Linked DNA regions of Oryctolagus cuniculus. The protein of the gene in region 1 interacts with the protein of each later gene in a biochemical or structural test. Links are inferred from orthologs where the notes say so. Each region holds a gene or a part of one and is shown in the gene's direction. Other genes may lie near its edges.

Evidence for each region.
Region 2: the proteins of MTA1 (region 1) and ZEB2 form a complex in vitro, tested with the Homo sapiens proteins (2 studies listed by BioGRID and IntAct). The link is inferred for Oryctolagus cuniculus from reciprocal best matches to the Homo sapiens genes MTA1 and ZEB2.
Region 3: the proteins of MTA1 (region 1) and ESR1 form a complex in vitro, tested with the Homo sapiens proteins (4 studies listed by BioGRID). The link is inferred for Oryctolagus cuniculus from reciprocal best matches to the Homo sapiens genes MTA1 and ESR1.
Region 4: the proteins of MTA1 (region 1) and HIF1A form a complex in vitro, tested with the Homo sapiens proteins (2 studies listed by BioGRID). The link is inferred for Oryctolagus cuniculus from reciprocal best matches to the Homo sapiens genes MTA1 and HIF1A.

Annotation. Positions count from the first base shown.
Region 1 is NC_091451.1:47,288,780-47,293,380, forward strand, and holds part of MTA1 (metastasis-associated protein MTA1), read left to right. Parts: intron 1-534; coding exon 535-585; intron 586-979; coding exon 980-1,109; intron 1,110-1,641; coding exon 1,642-1,705; intron 1,706-3,836; coding exon 3,837-3,954; intron 3,955-4,601. UniProt on the Homo sapiens protein: Transcriptional coregulator which can act as both a transcriptional corepressor and coactivator. Acts as a component of the histone deacetylase NuRD complex which participates in the remodeling of chromatin.
Region 2 is NC_091434.1:97,912,033-97,917,252, forward strand, and holds the start of ZEB2 (zinc finger E-box-binding homeobox 2), read left to right. Parts: upstream 1-1,781; 5' UTR 1,782-1,831; coding exon 1,832-1,849; exon of another isoform or gene 1,850-1,896; intron 1,897-2,088; coding exon 2,089-2,230; intron 2,231-5,220. UniProt on the Homo sapiens protein: Transcriptional inhibitor that binds to DNA sequence 5'-CACCT-3' in different promoters. Represses transcription of E-cadherin. Represses expression of MEOX2.
Region 3 is NC_091436.1:15,939,081-15,943,681, reverse strand, and holds part of ESR1 (estrogen receptor), read left to right. Parts: intron 1-547; coding exon 548-883; intron 884-4,601.
Region 4 is NC_091451.1:8,816,110-8,821,290, reverse strand, and holds the start of HIF1A (hypoxia-inducible factor 1-alpha), read left to right. Parts: upstream 1-1,641; 5' UTR 1,642-1,740; coding exon 1,741-1,775; intron 1,776-5,181.

The DNA of each region.
Region 1 (4,601 bases):
GGGATGGGGGCTGCTGTAGCGTGGGGAGGGTCTCAGCAGAGCTCCTGAGTATGGGCCAGGCCTGCCTGGAACAGCCCCAGATTATCCAGATTGATTGAAATGGCAAAAGTCTTGTTTTTCCCTGAGCTGGGCAAGGTGTTAGGACTTCCTGCAGCCACCACTAGGGGCAGCAGAGAGCCATCAGGCTGCACTGATTGGGGAGAGGGACAGAGACATGACCGTGGCCTCCAGAGGGCATTCTGTTGTTTAGTGCAGGGCAGGGGCCAGCAGCCTGGGTGTCCAGGGGCAGGCTCTGGAGGTCTCGCTCCCAGCTGGGGAGGTGGGAGTGTGTACAGGAGGGGTTCTTAGTGACAGCTTGTCAGGGCTCTGCCCGAAGGGGCTGGGGCACTGGGGTGGGCTGGGGCCCACTAGGAGGCCTGTGGCCCCCGTGTCCGCCCTGCCCCCTGGCCACGCAGCCCTGGGTCAGGCCCGGGCAGGGAGAGAGTGGCCGCGGCGCTGACACTGCCGCCTGGGCGCTGTCTGTCTGTTGCATAGCCTTGTCAGTCTGCCATAAAGCCGGACCGGGCGCCGACAGCGGCGAGGAAGGTAAGAGCTGCCCTCTGTGAGGACGCATCCTCGCGCCTGCCCCGGGCGGAACCTGCGCAGGCCGCCTGCATGCAGCCCGGCCCCGAGGGTGTCCTGCAGCTGCAGCGGGCCCTGCTGCGGCCATGCGGGGCCGCCTGGCCACGGGGCTGGGACACGTGGCACCTGCTGCTCACCGCGGTGCCAGCCGCCTGGCAGCTGCTCCTCTTTCCTCCTTTCCTGCTGCTTCCTCTGCCAGCGCCGGACTCCTGTCCCCACCTCCTTCCCCTGATGCCCAGGGGAGAGCCCAGCCTTCAGGGTGCTTGGACAAGAACGGGCACTGTGGCTCCTTGGGGTGGGCAGGGGCCTGGGGCCACCCTGCGTGGGCAGGGCGGTCCTGAGGGCTCTTGTCCTACAGGGGAAGCAGAGGAGGAGGCCGAGAGCCCGGAAGTGGAGGAGGAGCTGCCCGACCGGCTCAGGCACCAGTTGCGGCACCGAGAGCTGTTCCTGTCTCGGCAGCTGGAGTCGCTGCCTGCCACCCACATCAGGTGCACACCTGCCCCTCCCCCCCGTCAGGTGCACACCTGCCCCTGCCCCCCCGTCAGGTGCACACCTGCCCCTCCCCCCGTCAGGTACACACCTGCCGCTGCCCCCCCCATCAAGTACACACCTGCCGCTGCCCCCCCATCAGGTACACACCTGCCTCCGCCCCCCCCCGTCAGGTGCACACCTGCCCCCCCCATCAGGTACACACCTGCCTCTGCCCCCCCTGTCAGGTACACACCTGCCCCTGCCCCCCTGTCAGGTATACACCTGCCCCTGCCCCCCATCAGGTACACACCTGCCCCCGACCCCCCATAGGTGCATACCTGCCTCTGCCTCCTGTCAGGTGCACACCTGCTCCCCCCATCGGGTACACACCTGCCCCTGCCTCCCCTGTAGGTGCACATCTGCCTCTGCCCCCCCGTCAGGTACACACCTGCCCCTCCCCGCATCATGTACACACCTGCCCCCCCGTAGGTGCACACCTGCCCCCGCCCCCCACACCTGCCCCTCCCCTCACATCCTCCTCTTCCACAGGGGCAAGTGCAGTGTGACGCTGCTGAACGAGACGGAGTCCCTCAAGTCCTACCTGGAGCGGGAGGTGAGACTCAGCCTGGCTTGGGCAGGTCCAGCCCTGCCCACCTGCAGCACCCACAGAAGGCCAGGCCCTCCCTGAGGGGGCGTGGTCAGTGCAGGAGGCCCAGCTGGTCCCAGGCAGTGGACAGATCTGCACTGGCTGCCTGCACCCCTGCTGACCTGGGACAGCTGGCACCTGAGGCAGGTGACTGGAGCACCTGTGAGCCGTGGGGATTGCTCGCCACATCACCTCCTGGGTGACGGCCCGGTGTCCCCAGGGCAGTTCACCAGCACGGTTTTCTGAGGCACACAGAGTCTGGAGTAGCCAGGGTGTGGGTCAGCACCTAGGGGCAGGTAAGGGGCAGGCCCAGCGCTTAGCCTCTCCCAGGCCTCTGCCTGTCTGGGCTGAACGTGTGGCCTGAGGGCCTTGTGTCCAGCAGCCCGGGGTGACACGTGCAAAGCCTAGAAACAGGAGTGCCAGCAGGGACCACGCGTGCGTGGGCGGCCGTGCCCAGAGGCGAGGTCAGTGGGGTGCCCTGGGGACGTGGCAGAAAGGCATCCGTGGAGCAAGGACAGTGAACGGGGGCCGGCGGGCGATGGCCGTGTCAGCGTGTCAGGACAGCCCGGGCAGGTCCGAGTGCTGGCTCATGCGTGCTGAGTGCTGGGAGCCCTGCCCTCGCGTGGGGCAGCCGTGCAGGGAGAGCGCAGAGGCGGCGGCAGCGCCATGGACGGCTGACGTGGTGGCCTCAGCAGCCGTCACCAGGTCAGGTCATGTTGCAGGCGTTCCAGGGCGGCCAGGCCGAGGTGGACTCCGTGTTTCTCACCCGGCGACTCAGCACTCTGCTGAGCGGGGACGCGTGGTGCAGCGAGGGCCGTCATCAGGCCTCCCCGAGCCGCTGACTGGCACCCTGCAGCCCGAGCACACCCTGCGCCTGCGCCTGCGCCGTCACTACTGCGCTTCTTGCTTTGCCTTCCCTCCTTCCTTTTATTTAATTAAAAAAAAAAAAAAAGATTTATTTGAAAGGTGGAGTTAGAGAGACAGAGAGGTCTTCCATCTGCTGGTTCACTCCCCATATGGCCACGACAGCCAGGGCTGGGTCAGGCCGAAGCCAGGGCCTGGGACTTCGTCTGGCAGGGAGCTGGACCGGAGGTGGGGCAGCCAGGACTGGTTCTGTCTGCTGGTTCACTCCTTAGATGCCTGCGAGAGCCAGGAGCTCAGTCCAGGCCTCCCACGGGGGTGCTGTGTCCAGGCCTCCCCCGGGGGTGCTGTGTCCAGGCCTCCCATGGGGGTGCTGTGTCCAGGCCTCCCCCGGGGGTGCTGTGTCCAGGCCTCCCACGGGGGTGCTGTGTCCAGGCCTCCCACGGGGGTGCTGTGTCCAGGCCTCCCCCGGGGGGTGCTGTGTCCAGGCCTCCCACGGGGGGTGCTGTGTCCAGGCCTTCCACGGGGGGTGCTGTGTCCAGGCCTCAAATGGGGGTGCTGTGTCCAGGCCTCCCACGGGGGGTGCTGTGTCCAGGCCTCCCCCGGGGGTGCTCAGTCCAGGCCTCCCACGGGGGTGCTGTGTCCAGGCCTCCCACGGGGGGTGCTGTGTCCAGGCCTCCCACGGGGAGTGCTGTGTCCAGGCCTCCCATGGGGGGTGCTGTGTCCAGGCCTCCCACGGGGGTGCTGTGTCCAGGCCTTCCACGGGTGCTGTGTCCAGGCCTCCCACGGGGGGTGCTGTGTCCAGGCCTCCCACAGGGGTGCTGTGTCCAGGCCTCACCCGAGGGTGCTCAGTCCAGGCCTCCCATGGGGAGTGCTGTGTCCAGGCCTCCCACGGGGGTGCTCAGTCCAGGCCTCCCATGGGGGGTGCTGTGTCCAGGCCTCCCATGGGGGGTGCTGTGTCCAGGCCTCCCACAGCGGGTGGGACCCAGTTCCCTGAGCCATCACTGCTGCCCCAGGGTGCGTCAGGAAGCTGGGCTTGAGCCGGGTGTGGGGTGGCGTCCCAGCTGCCGTGCCGTGCCGTGCCGTGCCTGCGCCTGCTTTGTGCATGGATCTCTTGCCTGACGCGCCCTCCACACCCTGCCCCGTGTCGGGGGGCAGAGAGTTCCCCAGGCGAGGGTGGGGCTCCCAGCTGTGGGCCCCACAGACCAAGCAGGGGCTCCTGTGTGTGCTGTTTCAGGATTTCTTCTTCTACTCGCTGGTCTACGACCCCCAGCAGAAGACCCTCCTGGCGGACAAAGGAGAGATTCGAGTGGGAAACCGGTACCAGGCCGACATCACTGACCTGCTGAAGGAAGGTAGGGCGCAGGGTGGGGCCCGCGGCAGGAGCCGGGGCAGAGTGTGGCCCTGGACTGTCCTGCATGGCAGGAGTTTGTCTCCCTAAGAAACGAGGAGACAGGGAGTGAGGTGCTGGTGGGTGGGTCGCTCCCCAAGCACCTGTAGGTGCCGGGAGGGACCCCAGTACTTGAGCCATCACCTGCCATCCTGTGTCTCGTTGGGCAGCTGTGGAGCCTGGAAGGGCCTGGGGCACCTTGGCTGGCACCAGGGGACTGGGCTCGAGGGTCTAGGGCCTCGTCCCTCTGGTCTCCAGCTCCCTCCTCCAGCACTTCCGCCTCCTGTTTCTGTGCACGTGGCCGGGACCTGGCTCTCGTGGGCTGGCTGCTTGCGGTGTGTTGGCTGTGCAGCAGGGCTGGGATGCTGCACCATGGCCCAGAGTGGCCGGTGAAGGGTTCCCTCAAGTCCCTGTGCACAGGGCCCGCCCTCGCCAGCCTGGGGACCCCGGCCCCAGCCCCGTCCCCGGCAGCATCCTTGCCTGCTGGGCTCACTGCTTGGTCTCTTCCTGAGCTGCAGGCCTGGTGCAGAGCCTGGGCAGCCACGTCCACCGTGAAACCCACGCCAGCTCCCACCTGGGGAGAACTGCGTGGCGACGCCCTGACCCGAGGGC
Region 2 (5,220 bases), on another chromosome or scaffold:
AAGTTGCCTGTTTTTGTCTGCTTAGCGAGTTTCATTTCTTTATTTCATTCTGTGTGTGTGTATGTGTGTGAAGTAACACCTCACTTCTGTGATAATAAATAAAGAAGTGAAAGTCCTCATGGAACTTGAGTCCTTTACCAAAGTGGAAGGGGGGGGCTCACTACAGCTGGGAAGAAAAGTACTTCAGGATATCTGGGTTTTAAATAAGCCTAACTTTTGAAATTGTATTTTAAATGGCAAAGTCTCATAGCCATAGATTTAATAGGAGACACACATACACACATATATCCCATTCTACACTTTGGCACTGGAAAGTCGAGGGAGAGATAGCAGGAGTTCCCAGGAAGAGTGGTGAGCCCTGCGAACATGAATGTGTTTATCTTCCACCTTCTCATATATTTTACATGCTCCTCCTGTAATGAGGAGGGCACGATTGCTAACTCCAGAGTTAGGAATAACAGGCAAAGATAAAGTTTATAGCACAAATGCCCTGTCTCTCCCTCACACACCCATGCTCATAAAGCTAACAACTTACTTTATTAAACATGTATTTATATTCAATCGCGTGTAAGTCTCAGCATGAATACAGACAGGCCAGCTGCTTGGTCCCAGACACTTGTGTGACCATTTCTTTATTTCAGGATTCCTCTCCCCCACCCTCACCCCAATTTCAACTCAACAGGACAGGCAAGAAATGATAAAATGTGTCAAACTTCAATGAAACGTCTCCTACTGTATATGCTTAGGTAAATTTAAGGTGCTTTCTGAAACATCCACTTCCCCTTCTCTCCGCACCCCCCCTCCCCTCTCAGCAAACGTGTGGAAACTGATACTCACTTTCCAGGTTTTCCGCAAAGCTGCTCGCACAGGAGACAATAGGTGCGGGGCGTGGGGACCGAGTGTGCTCGGCAGAGAAAGGGTTAATGGCCCTTGTGTTACAGTTTGCATCTGTTACATCTTTTATAGCCCCCTGTTTAAACTAATCCTGGAGGCACAGCATCTTCCCAACCTCCACCGAGTTTCAGGATTCTCCTCCTCTGCTGCCTGCCTCCGAGTCCCCTTTCTCCAAGTTTTGACAGTTTCAGCTGAAAACATGCAGCGCCTCTCTCGATTTTTAGGTACAAAAGTTTCGAAGCCAGAAAGGATACGATCATTTAGGACAGCTTAAAAGTCTTGCCGTGCTGGTTGGACTTTCTCTTTCCTTTCTTGGGGGGGGGGGGGGGGGAGAAAAAGCAACATTTCTGCTGGAACTATTTATGGGAACCAGCGTGGGGGAGTATGTGTGCGAGTGAGGTGGGGGCAAATACTTAAGCAAATATTGTCAAAGTGGCGGGGTGGGGGGGGGAGGGACGGTGTCCAAAGAGGCTTATAATTATATTTCTTATTGCGGCGGAGAATGGGAAATCTTAATTTGGGGGCAGAGGGCTGGGGGAGGAAGAGACGGTGCCTCGCTGAACTCTGAGAGGAGAGGGAAGGGGAGGGGGCGCGGGGCGAGTGGGCTTCCTATAATTACTATTATCAATTTGCCCGAGTGTTCTTCATCCAGGGGCTGTTTCGCGTTGTTTGTTTGTTTCTTTCTTTCCTCTCGGGAAATGGGGCGGCGGGGGGCGGGGGGGTGGCGGTGGCGGTGGCGGTGGCGGTGGTGGCGGCGGTGGCGGTGGTGGTGGTGGCGGTGGGAGAGAATGAGGAAAGATGAGAGCGAAAGAAAGCCTCGCCTCACCCCAAGTTCCCGAGCCGGGCTGAGCACTTTTCGGAGCAAAGGGTCCGCCTAGCCCTGGGTCGGGCAGTCTTACTGTACCGCCGTGTGCATTCCCTCATACGGTCAGGAGTTATGACTCATTTCGAAGATGTAATTCTTGTCTCTGTGATCCCCTCGCGGGTGCAACACACCAAACAGTAACAAACACAAAGCGCCGCAGGGCCACGGCTGGGGGCGGGGGGCGGGGAGGGGGCCGCCGAAGTTTCGCTTTGGCGTTGGGGGGCGCGGATGGGTGCTCGCCGGGGCCCTGGCCCGGCTCCCCGGGGCGGCCCGCGCGCGTTTCAATGGGCGCGGGCGATGCCCACATTGTCGCTGTGTTTGGTTGCTAGATCGAGCCTGCGTGCTGCCGAAGCAGGGCGCCGAGTCCATGCGAACTGCCATCTGATCCGCTCTTATCAATGAAGCAGCCGATCATGGCGGATGGCCCCCGGTGCAAGAGGCGCAAACAAGCCAATCCCAGGAGGAAAAACGGTAAGAAGCGGCCCGAACCAAACTTTTCCGGGCCACTCCGCGGCTCCAGACCCAGGGAGAAGGAGGGGGAAAGGGAAAAGGAACCGAGGCGGCGGCGGCGGCGGCGGCTGCGCCCGGGGCTCGCGGGCGAGCCTCCCTCCGCGGCCGGCGCCGGAGCCCGGCGCGCGCGCGCGGCGGCCGGACCCGGGGGGAGTTGGGGAAGTGCGGGGCAAAGTGAGCGTCGGGCGCCCGGGGGGCTCCGAGCGCCGGGGTCCGGCCGCAGTCCCGCGCCCCCAGCCCCGCGCCCCTTCGCGCTCCCGCCTCCGCCCTCCCTCCGCCTCCGCCTCCCGCTCCGCTCGCGCTCGGCCGGCCCGCTGGGTCCCCGGCCCGGCTGCGGGAGTGTCCGGCGAGGGCAGGGCGGGGGCTTGGGCGCCAGGTCGCGCAGGATCCCGGGGCGGAGGCGAGGGTGGCAGCGGGACCGCAAGGGCGGAAGAGAGGACCCGGGGCTTCGTCTTAGTGAGGCTTAAAGTTTCTTGCCGGAGTCGCCCGGCCGCCTCTCCGTGCGCCAAGTAACGGTCCGCGGGCAGCGGGGCCCGGTCCGGCGCGCCCGGACCCCAGGGTGGGGTGGGAGGGACTCGGCCGGCCCTGCTCGGGGTCCGGGGTCGGTGCGGGTCGGGCACGGTGTGGGGGGGGCTCCTCTCCCGCAGGCGCTGGTCCCCGCGCTGGGGGCTGGGGGAGTCGCAGGGCGCTGCGAGACTTTTTCCGGGCAGTCTGTACATGGCCAGGAGGAGCCCGTTATCCAGGCTGAGTCAGGAAGGAGGAAGGCGATGGGGGTGCGAAGGGGACACACAGACACACACTGGGGGTGGGAGATGCAAGGCGGGTGACAGTTTAGTAGGTCCCTCGTGGAGCGAGCCAGAGAAGCTACGAGAGAGCGAGAGAGAGAGCGAGCGAGCGAGAGAGACCCCCCTAGGTATTACCCCAAACAAAATCGTGGGAATAAAAGAGAAAAGTGATTGGCAAGAGCGCCGAAGGCGCCTGGGGGAGGGGAAAGGGCTGGGGACGAGCGAGGGTGCGGGGGGGGGGGGGGAAGCTGACGGAGGATACTGAGTTTAAAAAGAAAAAAAAAAACCAACCCCCCAAAACAAACACGAGAACCCGCGCCAGCCCAGACTCGGAAAGGAAACTTCTCGTTCCCTTCGCTCGCAGCCGGATCCCCCAGCGCGGGGCCGCGTAGACGCTCCCGAGCTGGGCGCGGGGTCGCAGCGCCCGCTCGGCCTCCCGGCCTCCTGCAATCCCAGCCCTCTCCTGGCCGGGCCCGCCGGGGCCCACTTGAAGCAACTTTCCTCAGGGGAAGACGAGGGTGCGCGCCCCGGCCTGGCCCCGCGCGGCGCAGCGCGGCGTGGGGAGGGGGCGACTGGGGGCGCAGAGCGGGTGCTGGAGGGAGAGGAACACAAAGACGGGAGAATTTTGATTAGAGACAAATGATGCTTCTCTCTCTCTCCCTTCTCTCTCTCTCTCTCTCTCTCTCTCTCTCTCTCTCGTGTGTGTGTGTGTGTGTGTGTCTTTTGCTTGTTGTGGTGGAGGTGTCGAGCCATATGGGGGAGTGATAGAGGAATTTTAGACAGAAACTGTTTGTTACGTTATCCTGCCTTTCCTCTTTGTGCTGTCTTTGATCTATTTGCTTGGCTTAGTATGACAAAAAAAAAAAAAAAAAGTACAATGATAGATTCGGAGCTGCTTCCCCAAGCTTTCAGTTCAGGCTGCTGCTTTTTAAGTGTGCATCCCTCTCTATCTTTTAATCTAATTTTTTTCTTCATTCTGGTGTCTGGCATTATTTAAGGTGGTCTTTCCACAGCAGACCTCCCCTTCTCCATCTCTGGGTAATTTAGTAGACATTAAAATTATACCTAATGTCCCCCTCTCCTCTCTCGTGTTTCCTCTGCTCCTTTTATTAAATGTTGGTTATTGATTTTCTAAAATCAATGTCTGTTGTGGGGTTTTCCCCCCTCTTACAAGTATCTAAAGCACGTTGCTGATCAACTGGATAACAAAAGCTTTGTGTCAAGGAGACATTTTTTTCTTATGTTAAACAGTCATTTTTAGAGAAAGAGAGAATGAGATTTAAAGCAAGGCTCCCAGAAGTGTTCTTTTGCAAGGAAGACTGTTCTCCCTGCCTTCTTTCCACCCCCTTCGGGATTTTGCCACCGATGACTGGTCTTGCTTCAGCAGTGTGGTGAGGCCAGAGCTCAGGACTGGGAAAGTAGAGGGATTCTGGCTTCCTGGGAACCCCTGGGGGGTGCCAGCTGAGTGGGAGGCCCGTCAGGGGGCTTTACTGGTAGAATGGTGTACCAGGGAGGTGCTCAGTCCTGGACTTGAGAAACCGTTTCTCCTGCACCCAGCCGTCAGGTTGGGAGAAGCTTCCACACTCCAAAGTGGAAAGTTGAATTGCACGTTTTAAGGCATTTATCCCAGCCCCTGCACACTGAACATCAAGCCCGGCTATTGCTTATAGCTATTCTAACTTTGACTATTACATGTCTTTATCCCCAAAGAATCTCTGGGAAAACATGCTGTAAATTGGTTACTTGTCAGTATTTTTCATTGGGTTTAATCGGACTGAGAAAGGTCCTGGCTTTGAGGAGCAGGTAGAAGAGTTTTTCCTCCCCCTTTTCATTTCTTTCTCATCAAACATGTATCCAATGCCTTTCCCTTTGGGAATTGCCAGGATTTATCTGAACTGAGTGGATTTTTCTTCCTTCTTGGATTCATGGAAAAGATGTCACTTTTGAGCTTGTGTCTTTGCTGATAACGCTAAATATGATGATGCTTATCAAAATCATATAGAAATTCCTGGAAAGGAATAATGGCAATAATCATCACAGAAGTAGAAGCTGCAAGGGAGAAAAAAGAGAGACGGTCATCCAGAAACCTACAATGGCACTTTATATAATTTTAATGAAGTCAACAGTGTATATATAGACTAAGGCGACAAGGAGATAAAACGTGGA
Region 3 (4,601 bases), on another chromosome or scaffold:
GGTTTCCCAAGTGGGTGCAGGGGCCCAAGGACTTAGGCCATCTTCTACTGCTTTCCTAGGGAATAGCAGAGAGCTGGATCAGAAGTGGAGCAGCTGGGTCTTGAACCGGCGTCCATATGGAATGCCAGCACCTCAGGCCAGGGCGTTAACCCACTGTGCCACAGCGCCACCCCCCAATAATAACTATTATAATTTTATTTTATAGCATCTATTAAACACACACACACACACACACACACACACTGGTATGTCAGAGCCAGATTCTATTCTAATGGTTCACCAAACCTGCTACTAAATTTCAGGAGTTTTCTACGCTACCTGACTCCAGAGAAGTGTCCTGAAGTTTGTTATGGTGATAATATTTACACCATGGAGACTGGCAAAAGCTACAAATCCAAACTCCTTTTTTTTTTCTTTTGGAGAGCCAGTTGTTAAACCTTAAGCATTTATTTAAGTGAAATAAAAAGATATTATCTTTGAAGTTGGTTTTTGTATAAAAGTTTCTGTGGAAAAAAAGCGAAACTAATATTTTCATTCATGTTTTCAGGTATACGGAAAGACCGAAGAGGAGGGAGAATGTTGAAACACAAGCGCCAGAGAGATGATGGGGAAGGCAGGAATGAAACAGGGCCCCCTGGAGACATGAGGGCTGCCAACCTCTGGCCAAGCCCTCTGTTGATCAAGCACACTAAGAAGAATAGCCCAGCCTTGTCTCTGACGGCCGATCAGATGGTCAGTGCCTTGTTGGAAGCTGAGCCCCCCATCATCTATTCTGAGTACGACCCTACCAGACCCTTCAGTGAGGCCTCGATGATGGGCCTACTGACCAACTTGGCAGACAGAGAGCTAGTTCACATGATCAACTGGGCAAAGAGGGTTCCAGGTAAGAAGACTAAGTTCATTTTTATTTTGATTCAACAGCTTTTCAAGGATTGGTTGTGATGGCATGGGAGAAACTGTAGGAGACAAGGAAGTAATTCCTTACTATTCCATTGATTTCAAGGCTGCATCATAATTTCTTAATATTTAATATCAGTGCACTGTGATTCTCTTAGAAATCAGAAAACAATCTTTTATAATCAAAATATAGACAGTTAAAAAGCATTACTTTGACATAATTTAAGTATTTTCAACCCAGAGTATTTGCCAAAAAGATTTAAGGTGGACCCTACATGATAAATACATTCACTATCATATGTTCACAGTTTTTCAGAAGAGTTTAACATTAAATGAGCCACAACATTTTTTAAATATTGAGAACTATTTTTCCAAAATACTTCAATTACTAATAAGCATTTTACCTTTAAAATCTTTTCTGTGGACTAAGGCAATAATGATAGGTTTATGAACTGTGCCAATTATTTATCTAACATGGTTTTTACTTAGTATTTTAGGAGAAAGGGAACTAAAATAGAAAAATCAATTAGAGTTTTATCCTAGAGAAGAGCTGGTACAAAGACACAATGGTTCAAGTGATGCTTTTGTCCTCACATTGATTTTTCTCAGAAGTGGTGTTTCTGTAAAACTTGACTGCTGTTCTTGTTGATCGGAGAGAATAACTCTAGTTATTATGGAAACAAGACTAGGAAATGACCTTCTCCACAGCCCAGTATACCCATTCAGGAATTAATAAGGATAAAACCAAGTGGGAGGAAGTTAAATCTCTTTTCTGGACTCACGGGGCAAGTGAGAGATGGATTTATATAGAGATTTGCTCATTTGATTCATTTTCATGAGTGAAACTATTGCCTTTAATTAATGGATATTTTAAGTGAACCGAAAGATATAGAGTATGGTGTTTGTACTTCAAGAGTCACTGATATGAGATAGACCAAGTGAATATATGTCTGGCCTCAGAGATTCTCACCTGTGTTTTTTATAAACCAAGATATAAGCATGCAGCCCTTTAAATGGGGGTGGGGTGGGAGACCAGGTCTGAGATCCACTTGTTGGAAGGCATCTGCATATGTGAATGGAGTGGTGGATATTGGGTTGCTTGAAAGCATGGGTAATAATGGGCAAATTTGGGTTTTCAAAGTCAGTCCAACTGGCAAACAAAAACTCCTGGTCATTTTTTGGCTTAAGAGTTTCCTCGTTCACCTACATGTTCTAGCATTCTTAACGAAGCAGATACATTAAATGCACATATTGGGATCTAAACTTAATATGGCTATAGATTTTTTTCCTTTATATTTGCTATGCTCTTGTTTTTATCCTTTGGGAGAAGAGAAACAAGCAAAGAAAAAAACTAATGGCCACATCCCTGACAGCCAAGTGTGGTTACTGTTAAGTTTTATTGTCCTGTTAGCATATATTTTTCCCTCATGAAATCTTGGCCTGCTGAATACAAGATTACATTTTTCATACTTATCAGTAGATTCCCATCCTGCTATTATTATAATTATAAAACTTTGAAGAGCATTTGAAGTAACTCAAAGTAAGTTAAAATACATTACTAGTGGATGAAAGAATTCATGACAATTATCTTCTGAATTCAGGAATAAAAGTGGAGACATAAATCAGGGAAGGAAGAAATAATAACCAGGCATAACCATCCTACTGATAAGCCCAGAACTAGACAAATTTATGGAAATAAATTCTATAGAACATCATGGCGTTCATTTAAAAGACCTGGATGATTCAAAAATCCTTGGACCAAATTACATCTTGTTATTTGTTGATTTGGATAACTATAAAGATGAAAATTCAGTTATATATATATACATGTTTGTATGTGTGTGTGTGTATGTGTGTGTGCCACTGAAATACAGCTGTTGAACATCAAAAGACTTCTTTCCTGACCAAGCAAATTAAAACTTGCCATTGATTTAAAAAAGATGAAAAATGAGGAAAGAAAAATGTTTTCTGCAAGGACTATGAAGAAGAATGTCTTCAGAACATTTGACAAAGCCACATAGATCCAAATACCCTCTGTTATTTAAACAAATAGCTTTCAATAAAATCTAATATAGACAATATTATATTTTTGTGGTAATCATTTGATAATTATAATAGCAACTTGTAGAGGAGGGAATGAAATATATCATTGGCAAGAAGAATAACAAGGAAGCCAGTTCTAAAAGTCCCTGTGATTAGCTAAATGACACAAAAACCTGCAGAGGATATTGGGATAATTCTTAGGATGACTGTGAATTGAACTGAAGTTTTGAATTAATTTAATTTTAAATGACAAAATTTAATTAACACTTTTGAGCAACCAGTATAGTAGTCATAGACCATGTTTTTTACTAACAATATTGTCAGAATTGTAAACATGATTATAAGTTGAATTTTCCTTTCTCTTGATGTTTGCAAGTTATGTCTTTACTTGATATTTCTCTTTCCTAAGAATTTAGATATGGAGAGCATAATACAATCATAAAACATAATCATTCATAATACCATCACATTATGATAGACAAGCTCCTCTGTAAAGTACATGTGTAAGATCTGAACAAAGACAGAAGTAAGAACTTATTTTTTTCCTTTTGTGATTTATAAACCACAGAGGCAACAAGAAACATAAAATTTACTCAGCCAGCTCCGAGAAGGATTTTTAAGTAGCCTGTGTTGTATATTTACTCCTTGATATTTAGTTGTAGAGAAGGCTTTTCTCTTTTCAGTTTGCTTTGAAATCTATGTGTATTGGCATTTTATAATCTGTGGTTGGAGATTTAGTATTAAGCAATCAAGTTATGAAATCTTAATTTATTATTATCTTACACATAGTGAATCTAGTGAGTAAATGTTAACTCATTTAACTGAGGCTCAAATAAGGAAAAACACTATGACTGCCAAAAGCGTTTCATCTTTAATTTCTGCATCATTGAGTGGTGGATTCTTAGTTCTGGTGTTAATGAAATACATCTGATTTTTTTCAGCAGGAGCTCAAAATGCGTCACCAAAATGTCACTTCGAATTGTTAAAAATTAAGTGTTTCTCAAAGTTCACTATAATTTTACATAGTTCAAAAGGCACTCCATTTGTCAAATTTGTGTCCTGGGTCTATATTTAAGTCAAGATTTGAGGAGAAGTCTAGTCCTGGGCTTGTTATTGCCTCATGGAGGGTTGAGCCCAGGACTGGGAGGGAAATTGGCTGGGTGAGCTGGAGATGTGCTACCTTCGCCACTTCCTTTCTGTTAGTGGCAAGCCAAACAACCTTTTCCTTCCCCTTTCCTACCAATGCCCTCTTGATCCAGTGCTAGGGGCGTCCCTAATCCCCAGCTCCACACCATTTTACCTTAGATTCCTTCCTTGCTCAGTGTTGGCCATGGACCCAGGATCCACTTTTTCTGGACATGCCTGCAACCATCTCCAAGCTCAGGTTTCTCAGAAGTTTCTGTGGTATCTCTGATAGTGTGTGACTGTCTTCCCAGGGATCCAGAAATTAGCTTCCCTGCCTCTAATATAGCATCCTCATCTATCATTAGCAATGAACTGAGCACAGGAAGGACTTGAATAAAGGAATAAGTGAACAACTGAATGGCGACTTTAAAGACTCATTTACAAAATCTCTGAGCCCTGTTAGAACTCAGTTTTTGCTATGACCTGGGGCTGCTTGTCAAGGCTGTGATATGCCCTTTTCACCTCTCTTCAGAATC
Region 4 (5,181 bases), about 38 Mb from region 1:
GTTATTCTTTCCCTACTTAAAAAAAGAAATCATAAGTAACTATGATTTTTTTTTCCAGGCATACCCCATGGTTGTTCTGGATAACACATAGCATTTAGTGCTGTCAATCTGAAAAAACAAAAATAGCATTAGCATCAATCCTTATGGGTCTACTGACCAGTTCAAGTGGCTTCTCCTAGCAGGGTCAGACGCTGTGTTAGCCGGGCTGGTGATTCACACACTTGAAATCCTCCACAGGCAGATATCCACATCACGCAACAACCAGCGCAGAGTTAGACTGTGACAACCAGGCAAAGGTGCAGTAAAATACCCTGATGTCCACCGGGGAGGGATACGCAGTGGCTCTTTGTGGAGCTCAAAATATGTTTTTTTTTTTTTTAAAGACTTGAGAGGCTTGAAATGTATGGTTCTAAAGACAAAAAAGTGCTTAAGTTTTGTTCCGTAACTCGCAGTCCTGTCAGCAAACAGGCAGTGCTAGCCAGCACCGTCGTGCCCGGTTCCTTCCAACCCGGCGGGCTCTGGCCCATGCCCCGGAGGCAGCCTGGGTTCCGGACTCGGTCTACACCGCGAACGCAACTCAAGGAGACTCTTCTGAATCCACGCAAGATCGTCTTGCAAAAGCGCTAAGAAAGCACAAAGAAAAGTGTGCCTAAAGCCATTTTTCCGACCCTCCCTGAAATGCAGGTTTATATATTCTCGCTTCTGAAAGCCGTTTCTACAGTAACTTCACACCTTCCTTCCTCGGAGAGAGGCGTGCAACAACGGGTCTGTGAGGTTTTCCCTGGCATTAACTTAAACAAGTTCGCGACAGAACGCCTCAGGGGCCCCGCGGGGTCCCCCGTGCCGTGCGGCAGAGCGCGGGCAGCCTGGCAGGAAGGCCGCGCCGCAACGCGTCCGAGCGGGGAGACCCGGGGGGCTCGCGCCCAAGCCGCCAGGGCTGCGCTTTCCCACAGGGAACTCGGCTACGCCGCCTGAGGGGAGCGCGGGAGCGGGAAAACGTGATGCAACCTCGGGCCCGGGCAGCCGCCAACTCCCCTCAGCAGCGCCTCCCGCAAGCCCGCCGCCGCCGTCCCCAGCGGCAGGCGCTGGGTGCCCCCTAGTCCCGGCGCAGACGCACCCCCCAACGCCTTTCTCTCCGCCCCGGCCGCACACAGACGGGCACGTGAGCGCCGCGGCGCGTCCCAGCTGTGCCTCAGCTGAGCGCCTCCGGATTGGCTGAGAGCGACGTGGGCTGGGGTGGGCACTGGCCGCCTGCGTCGCTCGCCATTGGCTCCCGAGCAGCCCGCCTCCCCCTCAGGTGAGGCGGGCCTGCGGGGGCGCGCGCGCGCGCGCTGGGCTCGGCGGGCAGGCGAGGGGCGGGGGCGCGCGCTCCCGCCCCGCCCCTCCCCTCCCCGCGCGGCCGGGCGCGCCTCCGCCCTTGCCCGCCCCCTGCCCGCTGCCTCAGCTCCGCCGAGCGCAGAGCCGCCTCGTCTGAGGGGACGCGAGGACCGTCCTCGCTGCCGAGTGGGCCCAGCGCGTCGGGCCGGGCCGTGACAAGCAGCCTGCGCGGAGGCTCGCGCCGGACTCCGCGCTCGCCGCCCCGCTCTGCTCTGCGAGGAGCTTCCCGCCTCGCACCCCTCCCCCGCCGCCGCCCCCACCCGGACTTGCTCTGCTCTCTCCGCGTGTGCAGGGAGCCGGCGCTTAGGCCGGAGCGAGCCTGGGGGCCGCCGGCCGGGAAGGCATCGCGGAGACCGAATCGCCATGGAGGGCGCCGGCGGCGCGAACGACAAGAAAAAGTAAGCCCCTTCCCCGCCCGCCCGCCCGCCGGGCCGCGGCGCTCCCGGGGTGGGTCGCTGGGCGGGCGGGGGTCGCCCGGCCTTTTTTTTTGTTGTTTCTGCCTCCTCTCCCCTCCCCTCTCTTTCCCCCAACCTCGCCGGCCGGGCTCCCCCGCTGTCCACGTCGCCATCTTGTCGTGGGGGGTGGGAGACGCCTCGAAAGTGCTTCCAGGGGGCCGGGGGTCTGCACGCCGCCGCCGCCGCCGCCCCCAGCCGGGGCTGCGGGGGTCCTCGCGCCGCCCCCCGCGCCCGCCGCGGAGCCCCAGCCTTGCGGCGCGGCCCCGTCCGGAGGGGACTTCGCCCCAGCCTGGAAGCCGAGCCCGCAGCTCGGCGCCGCCGCTCGCACCCGGAGCTTCCGCTCCCTCCCGGTGGCGGGGAAGGCGCGGGCCGGGCGCCCCGCACGCTGGCCGCGGCTCGCCGGCGGGTGCGGGGCCCCGGCGGCCGCGGCTGGGCTGGCCCTTGCGGCGGTCCCGCCGCGGCGGGTGTCGCTGCCTTTGTGCCGTGGTGGGGGGATTGGCCGCGGCGGCCTTCGGATGCTAACTTTTTAGTTTGCACGTGCAGGTTTTGTTTTTCGTTTTGTTGTTTTAATCGGCTGGAAAAACTTGCCCAGACTTGGGAGTCGGAGTAACGGGAATTGGGGGGCACATCGCCAGGCTGTAGCGGGAACTTGGGAAGTGGAGACTTGGGATCCAGGGAGCCCAGACGATGAGCAGGAATCCGTGCCTCATTCATTCCCGAAAATATCTTGGTGAAAATGTAACGGGCGGCTTCGATTTAGGCAGACAGTGTCAGTGAGGTTGAAAAGCGAAGTAGATGACCGGAGCAAACGAAATGCAACACTAAAGTGTTGGAGGATTTTTTTTTTTTCAGAACTGTCTCGTTTTCCTGATATTTTAATATATTTGAAGGAAACCATCAGCACATATCCAGATTGTGTTGGGACTTAAAGCAAGTTTATTGAACAGCGTGAAGTGTAAGAGGGGTACATTATAGAAAGATTAAGAATGGTGGAACCCGTGGTATTTACAGTACCCCCCTCCCTATTTTCTCCACTTTGGTATTTTCACCGTTGAGGAAATTATTTTAAGGAATTGAGGATTTATATAGTAGGAGTAGTAACGTAGGCTGGCTTTACTGTTAAGTCCTTCCACTCTTATGGGAGAGATTAACTTCTCTAATCAGTATGAGCGGAAGATAAACTTGTTTATATCCTTGCTGTTTTGTAGATTCTTTATCTTGGTCCCTATTCAATAGAATGTAAAATTCTCAGTTTATATACACCGGGGAGAGAGCACTTACACAATTTAAAACATGAGCACACAAGTCTAGATTTAATTTCAAGAGTTAACCAGGAATTAATTGCAATTAATTTTGCAGAAGTGATTACAGTGTTTTTGATGAAATGAAGAGGCTGCTATATTGTAAACCAAAGGCAGATTACCTCTGTGTAGTGCCAATTTTCCGTCCTTATTATATACTGAATCATAGTTACCACAATGCATTAGGTTGTGTACCAGTCACTTCCTTTTTATATGTAATACTTTACTGATTTCTTCTTTGCTATTCTTCAGTTAATACCAGAAGCCACTGTAAAATAAGTGAGTGAATAAATTAGCAACTACTGCGCACCAGCCCCAGCGCTAAATGAATTCTTTGGTTTTCCCCATTCCCATTGTTATTTTCAAAATTTTCTCATTTGAAAACTTAACCACCTGGGATCGAATGTAGTCGTAACACTTAATATGGAGATTCTTAATATAACTGAAATTTTAAGTTAAACAGTAAATAGTGATTACTCAGCAACTTTTGGATGATGTTAATTAAAAATGCCCTTTCCTGACTAATATTTCTTCAAGTTTTTGAAAGGTAACAGATTGAGGTGGAGATTTTCTTCTTGGAATTTTCCCAGTTTTAGAGGAGGACAAGGCAGCTGAAAATCAGAATTGAAAGAAATCAGAGCAGAGTGGTGTGGTTGTAATAGATTTAACAGGGAGTTTCATGTTGATTCCTTAGTTGTAGGTGCTGGACTTACTGAGAGCACAAGGATAATAGGGGTTTTTAGATTCAAAAGGAATGGCAGGAGGTTCTGTTTTTAGGCTTCAGGTCAGGTTCCTTCAGAGTTTTCCAAAACAAATAATTACTGGAGCATTGTAGTGAAATCTCTGAGAATAAACATTTCTAAATTTTCTTTTTTAACCTTGGCCACTAAGAGTCATTTATTAGTAAACTTTTGTTGTTGCAGTTTGACTTGTTTATAACAGCAGCAGGGCTAGAGATGAAGAGTGTAGAAGCTGGAGGCCTGAATCTCTGAGTTAGAGTGCCAGCCTTTCCACTTGTGAATTGGGCAAGTCCTGAATGCGTCCATGCCTAACTTTTCCTTTTGATGATAAGAAGCAGCCATCTTAACAGTTAATATGTATGGGAAATGAGATCATGCATGTAGAACACTTAGCCCAGGGTCGGGAATGGGGGAGTCTTGGTAACAGTTTGTGTACTTCCTAGTAAATGTTACCTGTTTAAGCTTTAAGTTTGAACTTCCACCACCCTTAAAATGCTTTTTGTAAGTTCTTCCAAATATTTCTTTCAGTTTCTCTTCTGTCTTCATGCATCTTTTCTGTATCTCCAAAAAATGAAAAAACTAACATTCAATTTGGATCTTGAAAAGAGTTCTTTCCTGTTAAAACAGCACCTCCAGGGCTACATTGGCATCTAGCATCAGTTGCTTTTCTTGAACATCTGCCCTGCACTCTACAGCTTCTCACCCTGTGTTTTCTCCCCATATGCGCCATTTTGAATTTACTCTGGACCCTGCAGTCATAACACATATACAGGTCATACTGTTCATTCCAGTAGGGCACTGCAGTTGTAGCACTGGCAGCAACGTTTTTTGTCTTGATGCCAAAATTTAGAGTATATGGTTTTATAAATATTAATCCTTGTTAAAGATAGTTGATAAAAATACTCTCAGTAAAGCACCCATAAAGAAAACTCCTTTTCTTATGAATTTCTCTAGAGTTAAGGCTATTGGCTTCCATTTCAAGACAAGGCTTAAGGGCAGTACTTTTGATCTGATTTTTGTGATTTTTGGAAGTGTATATTAATGTACACTTGCACATGTATGTGTTTTATCAAACATGTTTTAGACTGATGAAAGTGTTGCAGTTCACTCCCACAATCCACTGAAAAGTACCTTACCAGTTCTGAGAAAGTCCAATCTTCCTACCTGCTAGCCTCTATTGTCTCTGTGGCTCTAATGGTGTCTGGGCTTAGGGTTTAGATTTTGTGGTTAACATTCTATTGTTGTATATCAAGAATGCTGTGTAAAAGGCTGAAGGGAATTTAAAGTTACCATGCACTGATGTTAAAG